Schizosaccharomyces pombe: one gene and its partner. The protein of the gene in region 1 purifies or fractionates together with the protein of each later gene. This does not show direct contact. Each region holds a gene or a part of one and is shown on either strand. Other genes may lie near its edges. The genes, in order: rpn3 and rpn7.

Region 1 (4,492 bases):
GACAGGCGATATTTGATGATATGCGCCGTAGCGACCACAGCAGAATACACCATTGCTCAAAATATCGACAAAATTGTTAAATTACTATAACGTAAAAAATGAGCTTGCCGTTCCACTTTAAATATATAGTGTTGATCATATCTACTAACTTAGCTAAAATTGACAAAGTGGTAATGGGAGAGACTAATGTATAGCTTTGGTTTTATAAAGTGTTACTTAAGTCACGTTAGAAAACTAGCTTATATCCACTGTGGTTATTATTTTCTGCCGGAAGCCATTTTATAGCATTGCTTTATTTGCTCTAGTTATGCATAACAAAAAATAAATTTGCACAAAAATTTTTTGCCCATTTCGCCATTTATAATTAAAAAGACTAAAGTATACCTTTGATTGGAACCATAATCCAAGATCAAATCTGTATTGCTTCACAGCATAACCATAAATGTGTTTGCATACGTGTATTATATACGAAATATAAAACAACAAATTTGAAAATAAAGCACACGACCATTCTCCAAACCCCTGTGTTTTTAGCGTATTACTCATTTATTACAATGTGCAAAGACCAAGTCTCAGTTTAAACAACAAACGCATTTGTAGCGTTGTAGCACCGATCGAAAACTGTTTTTCAACAACTTTCCTTCTGTTACAGCTTCGCAAACTCACTAAATATTTCAATCTGTAAACTACATATAGTTTTCATAGACATTAAAGAAACATACAACTGAACAACTTTGAAAGTATATTTTAAGATCTATAAACTTTCCATAAGTTTTTTAAAATTCGCCCAAATCAGGCTCATCGTCATCTAAATCTGCCTCAGCCATTTCTTTATCCATACGCCTACGTGCCTCTTCCACACCTTCGAGTTCACTTTTGTGAGCATCCATGGGATATCGCATACTTTTTATGCTGTCATTATGAAGGGCAAGACAAAACTGAATACGTTCATGAAAAGCTTGTTGAGGCTGCTCGGTGGAATAAATATCCATGGCTTCGTTACTAGCCATAAAGGCATTACTATGATCGATACTTGCATCAATAACTCCATCACGGATGCCCTTAGCAACAATGTACTCGGCACTCTCTTCACTGTCCAAACCAAGCTTTATACAAACATCACGAAGGGAAATACGGGAATAAGATAAGGAGATCATCCTCAATCCAGTCTTAATGACGGTATGGCGAAGGCGGCATATCAAAGTATACAATCCATCGAAGCGAAATTCAGCCTCATACTTGGAAAGCGCGTCAGTGAAAGCACAAAGGTCACCAATACGAACTGCCTGGCTAATACGTAAGTAAGGCACTAAAGTTTTTTCGAGAGATTTTTGGCGGAAAATGCGGCGTTCGGGAATTTCTCCCATAAGCAATTGTACGACGATGTGCAATTTGTAAACAGCTTCCAGAAATTGAACGGCATATACTGTGTTGGGAGCCTTACGTATAGCACTAACTAAATGTTCATGAGCGGTCGTGTAGTCAAGTTGAATGGCGCGAATTCGACCCAAATAGTATTGGTAGCGAATTGCCAAGTTATTACTAGCATTCGTAAGAAAGGATGTTTTCGAAACGAGACGGTCTGCTTGATCATATAGGTTAAACTGAATATAATTCCGAAGAAGTAATGTCAAAACCATAGCTTGAGTTTCAGAGTCGTGACGTAAAGATGCAGTACGATGAACGGACAAAAGAGTGTTCCTGCATTCTACAGACCTATTACATTTTTCAAAGAATAGTATGTAATAGAAATATAACTTGGCTGCAATTTGATCCAAGGTTCGTCGATCATAGGATTGCAAACGGGCGATTACCTTCTTAATATATTCAGCGCCTACCTCATATTTTTCATTATAATAAAGTGTCATGCTAAGAAGCAGTTGTAAGTACATATCCACTTCCGGAAAAATTGTGTTGCCATTTCCATTTGTAATAGAAGTGGAAGAATCATCACCATTTTGTGGCATATCAATAAGTTCCAATAATTCATTTTTTAAAGAATTATCAAAAGAATAATACTTCTTAATTAACTGGCCTAAAACATCCGCATTCAGTCTATGGCAAATGTTGGATGTGGTTCTTAATGATCGATAGACAAGTCTGGGATCTCTTTGTTTGGTGGCTTGCATTAAGGCAGCAATATTTGCTTCCACATCTGATCCTTGTTAGAAATAAATAAATTTTGACGCATTAACTCACCTTGCAAAACTGTTCTTGGAACTTCAGTTACAGTGTTCTGTTTTGTTTCACCAGAATCAACATTTTCTTCTTGGTTTACAGAATCAACCTGCATATCTTTTTAACGTTAATAAATACAAAAACTTTCCCATCAATAACAAACCTCTCTGATCATCAATCATATTGATACTGGTACTTGGTAGTGGTTACGTTCAGTGGAGGGCATATGCCTAAGCTTACGACTCACTGTGCTGTATACTTCCTCCCTATGATTATAAACACGAATATATTAAATGTTCTATTTAGTAAAGACTTTTGAATGCAATATTTATTACAGCATAATAGACGAATAATGTTTGAACAAAGTAGAAGATAGTATCGAATAGTTAAATAAATGAAAATACGCGTCTTCAACAAACATTCAATAAACGTAGCATTGCTCACGATTAGTTGTTTCTTAGCACCATAATCGTTGTATACAACTTGTAGAATGCACCAGCAAAATGGTCCTAACAAGATTGGAGGAAAAAATTAACTCATGACTAGCTCATTTCAAACGGACGACATATACTAATTTTGACCCCTTTTAATCCCTAAAGCCAATACTCTCAGTATTCAAGCAATTCATTAAAACATTTTGATTTTAACTCTTTTCTCTTCTAACTTATGCAAATTCGCAAGTAAATTAGAAAAACGATTATAAAATTTCAGGCGTACAATCACGAATTAAATAATATGAAAGCAAAAGAAAAGTATGTTTCAAAGTTCGTCCGGAGATGAGTTGTTATCCTTTTCTTCAAACTCTTTATCTGATTGACTAGAGGCGGTTTGCAATACGGATGCTATCTCATTATCGTATGAAGTCCATTCAGAGACTTGCCTACGTGCGCGATCCAGCTTCTTTTCTTTAGTTAAAGGATTTTGACATAAATCGATTGTTTTGGCAGTTTTCAAACTTTCATCACTGCACCATGTCTCACACCAAAGCCAATCTTGCGGAAGAGAGTATATAGGAATAAGGTGTTGAAGGTGATTTGGCAAATCTTGATCTAAATTAGACAGGGAGTTAGGATCGGCAGACAAAAGTTGGTATTGTCTGCGAAGTAAATCACCCGCACCCATCTTCCTGAAACGATCTAAGTCTACAACATATAATGCACTAATGTGATATTTTAATCCACGTAAGAATTTTTTCCAGTATCCTTTTTTCCAGAATCTAAAACCTTCCATCTCTTCGCGAGAATCACACATGGGTGTATACCCATATGGAGCACCATGTAAATCCATATCCATCAATTCCTGCAAGTCAGCACGCACAATTTGATCGGCATCAACATAGATAACCTTATGCAATTCTAAAGGGAATAAAACATCAAGGAACAATATTTTGTATCCCCATATCTCACGTTGCTTTTCTTCTTGTTTTCTCAGCCAGTGTGGCCAATTGTAAGTAATATACTCATACTCGAAATTATACTTTTTGGCAATGGCCGGAATAGAGCTTTTAAAAGAAGGGGACAAAAAGTTCTCAATAAACCAGAACTTGACTTTTTTATCCGTATGCTCAATTACACTCTTAGTCATGATGTATAAGAATCTTTCATACAAGTGTCCGCTGGCAACAGAAAAAATATTTATAGATGCTTCTTTACGTTTGAAATTAAAGAAGCTGAGAGACTTTTTTATTTTATCGAAAAATTTATGGGAGCTAAGGTCTTCATCCATAATGTCGGCAGACTCAAAACCAGGTTTACGTCGCATAACCGGATTTAAGGTGACACCTTCAAAACTGTCAACAATTACTTGAGGGTCTTTATAGGAATTTTTCTTATTTAGCGACAGTATTTCATAAAACTGAGAAGACCGCCCATCCATAGGTTCCAAAGTCCATACGCCTGGGTTCGCCTTCAATTGAAAATATCCTAAATTTGATAATACAATTGTATCAGTCACATGGGAATTAGTAAGGTTGCCTAGCTTTAATTGCATACCCCTCGGTGGGCTTTTCCTGAATTCTTCTTGAGAGTAACCTTGTACCAAAATGTTTTTAAGTTCATAGATTGCTGTATGTGAGTCCAAAGCCTCTGCTTCAGAAGTGTGCTCTAATTTTATGTTGAAAAGATCAATGTCCACATCTTTTTGCATAACTGTCCATGCGTCTCTAGCTTCAATGTCCATTGTAAGCAGTGTATCAGCCGGTAAGTTGTCAAATTCTACGTAAGACTCCTCTAAATGGCCAAGCGCATCAAACTCTGGCTCCGCAGAAATTGAATATCGATAAAACCTTGTTAATGGAAGCTCAGACAAAGTTTGT
Region 2 (3,818 bases), 280 kb from region 1:
CAGAATTTACGGAAATAAGCGAAACTTGGTCCCAATGATTGTCGGGTTCCTTTTCTCTTAATTCACCAAGTTTTCTCCTAAAAGAATGAAACTTGTTTTGGTAAATATTGTTTTGATAGACTTCGTCGGCAAGCAATACTATGCCCTTTGCCTTAGCAAAGCGCAAAACTTTTTCCATGCTATTTTCAGAAATGCAAGCTCCAGTAGGATTACCGGGATTAATAACCACGCATAAACGAACGTTGATACCTTTTTTAGATGCTTCATCAAATGATTTTTTAAATTGGTCAAAATCAATGTCCCAATTATTTTCCTCGGAGAGGCTGTAAGATACCATAGATCCACTCATGAGATCAATTTGGGCACCGTACAAAGGATATTGAGGAGCGGGAACCATTACACCATCTGTTGGCCTAGCGATTATCAAAGTCATTATAAGCCGGGCAGCGTGTGAGGCACCACTAGTCAAATATATGTCAGATGGCTCGCAATCAAATCCATCTCTCGCTAAAATATAATTAGAAAATGTGTAAAGATAAAAAGAAAAAAGAATGAATGGCGGAGTCTAAAATCATTTTTTATCGAGCAAGACCCTAGCAGCTTTAATGGGTTGCAGTATTTTTGCTAAATTTCTTAATACAGTCTGCGAATTGTCTCTGTGTCCGACGATCTTCACTCTTTCTTCTTAAAATGCTTACCTCTAATGAAATCCGCAACATGTCGCCTTACAAGCGGAATACCTTGAGAAGCACTATAGGCACCCAAACTTCCAGATTCCTTTAAGAGCATTTTGGATCGTTGTACGACATCCGTAGGGAACAAATTTTGAAACCACTTTTCCTCAGCATGGTCTAACAAGGTAGGGTACTGGCAAAGAGATAAAACCTGTCGAACGAATGTAATAGGAGACTGTCCCATCTGCTGAGGATTACCGATGTTTGCATAGACGATCTCACTGAAAGGATATGAAGAAGGATTTTCAAGTAAATCATCTTGGATCTCGTCCGCAAGAATGGCTAAAGCTCCACGGACGGCGTAATTTGCCTTAAATACTTGTTGATTCAAAGAATTAAGGTCTGAGAACGCATTTTGACAAAATCCATCAAGGTCCGACATTCTTGGAGACTCACAGTTAATATCATTTGGATAATCTGTAAACATAAATATAAAGTAGATAATCGTTATTTGATATTATGTACTTCACTCTTTCTACTGTATTTTATTTGGAGATACTTATCAACCGCTCACTGTATTCACTTATATTACATATACTAATTTTTTCACTAACTTAGCATAATGAACAGAGAAAAAATAGCTCCTAAAAAATACTCAGTGAATGACAACGTTTCCGTTATTTTTATATTTTTATTTTCCATTAACCGGATTATACAGGCTTAAATATGATATTCTAATAAACCATTTTTGTTTGTTTTATATATATTAAGTAAGCAATATTCAATGCGAAAAATTATTTGAATTCCTTTAGTAAGCCCCAACCTATGCTACATGTCGTGTAAACCAAAAAATTAGAACGATGTAAAAACAGAGGTATAGAAGAGATGCTTGCTTATTTGCTTAACTTTTTTGTCTTATAGAATTTGGTTAATTAAATTAATTTAACGATTTACAAGTTTCGAGAAGACTGATGGAATGTTCAAGCACTTGACTTTTCAGAATGGCATATTTCACAAAAAAGAATTGAAAAGAATAAAATTTACGAGTTTTAAGATTCGTTTCTAATAAAATTTAATTAAAACATGTTACTAGAACATAAGGAACAGTGGAAGTTGAAAAGTAGAAAAAGAACTTTTTCTCTTTAGTTGTTTGAATTAAATTTATATTTGAAATTTAAATAAACTACAAAAAATTAACATTTTACTAACTTTTAGATGAGTGAAATGTACAATATGTAGTTTAGTTAGCTGTTGATATGTGTTCTCCCTCTGCAACACTCACACACCGCACCATGACAGAAAAGGCAAGAACCGTATCAGATTTGACCATTTCGCAAGCGATTTTCGAGCTTTCCTCGCCATTCCTTGAGAATAAGAGCCAAAAGGCTTTGGATACGCTTTTTTCTGCCATTCGTGATCATGATTTAGCTCCACTTTATAAATATCTTTCAGAGAACCCTAAAACATCGGCAAGTATTGATTTTGATAGTAATTTTTTAAATAGTATGATAAAGAAAAATGAAGAAAAGTTAGCAGAGTTTGACAAAGCGATCGAAGATGCCCAAGAACTTAATGGAGAACATGAAATTTTAGAAGCCATGAAAAACAAAGCTGATTATTATACGAATATATGCGATAGAGAACGTGGTGTACAGTTATGCGATGAAACTTTTGAACGAGCAACATTGACCGGAATGAAGATTGATGTTCTTTTTTCCAAAATCCGTTTGGCATACGTGTATGCTGATATGAGGGTCGTTGGTCAATTATTGGAAAAATTAAAGCCACTTATTGAAAAGGGAGGTGATTGGGAGAGGAAAAATCGATTAAAGGCCTACCAAGGCATATATTTGATGTCAATCCGTAATTTTTCTGGTGCCGCCGACCTTCTCTTGGATTGTATGTCAACTTTCTCTTCCACCGAACTACTTCCATATTACGACGTCGTTCGATATGCCGTGATTTCTGGTGCAATTTCTTTAGATCGTGTTGATGTCAAGACCAAAATCGTTGATTCACCTGAAGTGCTTGCCGTGCTACCTCAAAATGAATCAATGTCTAGTTTGGAAGCATGTATCAACAGCTTGTACTTATGTGACTATTCCGGATTTTTTCGAACCTTGGCCGATGTTGAAGTTAATCATCTTAAATGTGATCAATTTCTTGTCGCCCATTATAGATACTATGTGCGTGAAATGAGAAGACGTGCTTACGCCCAGTTACTTGAATCTTACCGTGCTCTCAGTATCGATTCCATGGCCGCTTCCTTTGGCGTATCTGTTGATTATATCGATCGCGATTTGGCGTCATTTATCCCAGACAACAAGTTGAACTGTGTAATTGATCGAGTCAACGGTGTTGTATTTACAAACCGTCCTGATGAAAAAAACCGTCAATACCAAGAGGTTGTTAAGCAGGGTGATGTTTTACTTAACAAACTCCAAAAATACCAAGCCACTGTTATGCGTGGTGCCTTTAAGGTATAATTTAACTCAGTGCCTACGTTTAATGAAATATGGTTCAATGCATGTATCGTTTATCTATATTGTCTGGTTTAAACATTTGAAAAGTAATAATATGAAACGGTATTAAGTTTTGGTGCCATGAACATTATTTGTAAACGAAATGTAGAAATGATTAAAGCATACGAATCTTTATTCAACTATTATTAGGGACTAAATAGATAGTTGTGCAATTTTTGGTGGTGTTTACGTATATCTCAAATGTTTCTTCACTCGTAAATACAATGTTGTTTGATGAGCCTGCGACGCGTTCCATTTACCAACAACATTTCGTATGTTAGTGACACTAATTCGTAGCGAAAAGATTTGAAACAATACAAGGTTAAGAGATTAACAGATTGATTTAATATGGAATATCAAGAAGAGGCTTCTCTCGCCTCGGCTGAAGATTCGACTTTCATAGCTTCATCGCCTGTTCAAAGTGTTAGCGAGATGAAGTCTATTAAGCAGAAGAGTTTTCAGTATTTTGATGATTATGAAAAGAATGTCTCAGATAAAACAATTCAATTTCAGAAGCTACAAATGACTGCTAAAGAAATAATTGATGCTTTTGAGCGCGATTCTACTCAACGTACGCTACAAATCGAAAGTTTGGAAAGTAAGATAGGAGAGCAGGAACGGG

Evidence for each region.
Region 2: the proteins of rpn3 (region 1) and rpn7 purify together in Schizosaccharomyces pombe (affinity purification with mass spectrometry, with the first as the bait; one study listed by BioGRID). This does not show direct contact.

The regions. Positions count from the first base shown.
Region 1 is NC_003423.3:710,380-714,871, reverse strand, and holds rpn3 (19S proteasome regulatory subunit Rpn3), read right to left. Parts: upstream 2,383-4,492; 5' UTR 2,361-2,382; coding exon 2,342-2,360; exon of another isoform or gene 2,296-2,341; coding exon 2,200-2,295; exon of another isoform or gene 2,156-2,199; coding exon 777-2,155; 3' UTR 720-776; downstream 1-719. Other genes in the region: UDP-glucose--glycoprotein glucosyltransferase Gpt1, read right to left, coding at 2,938-4,492. UniProt on the Schizosaccharomyces pombe protein: Acts as a regulatory subunit of the 26 proteasome which is involved in the ATP-dependent degradation of ubiquitinated proteins.
Region 2 is NC_003423.3:429,893-433,710, reverse strand, and holds rpn7 (19S proteasome regulatory subunit Rpn7), read left to right. Parts: upstream 1-1,945; 5' UTR 1,946-1,966; coding exon 1,967-3,160; 3' UTR 3,161-3,318; downstream 3,319-3,818. Other genes in the region: alt1 (putative alanine aminotransferase), read right to left, coding at 1-507, 699-1,116; mcp6 (horsetail movement protein Hrs1/Mcp6), read left to right, coding at 3,545-3,818. UniProt on the Schizosaccharomyces pombe protein: Component of the 19S cap proteasome complex which acts as a regulatory subunit of the 26S proteasome, involved in the ATP-dependent degradation of ubiquitinated proteins.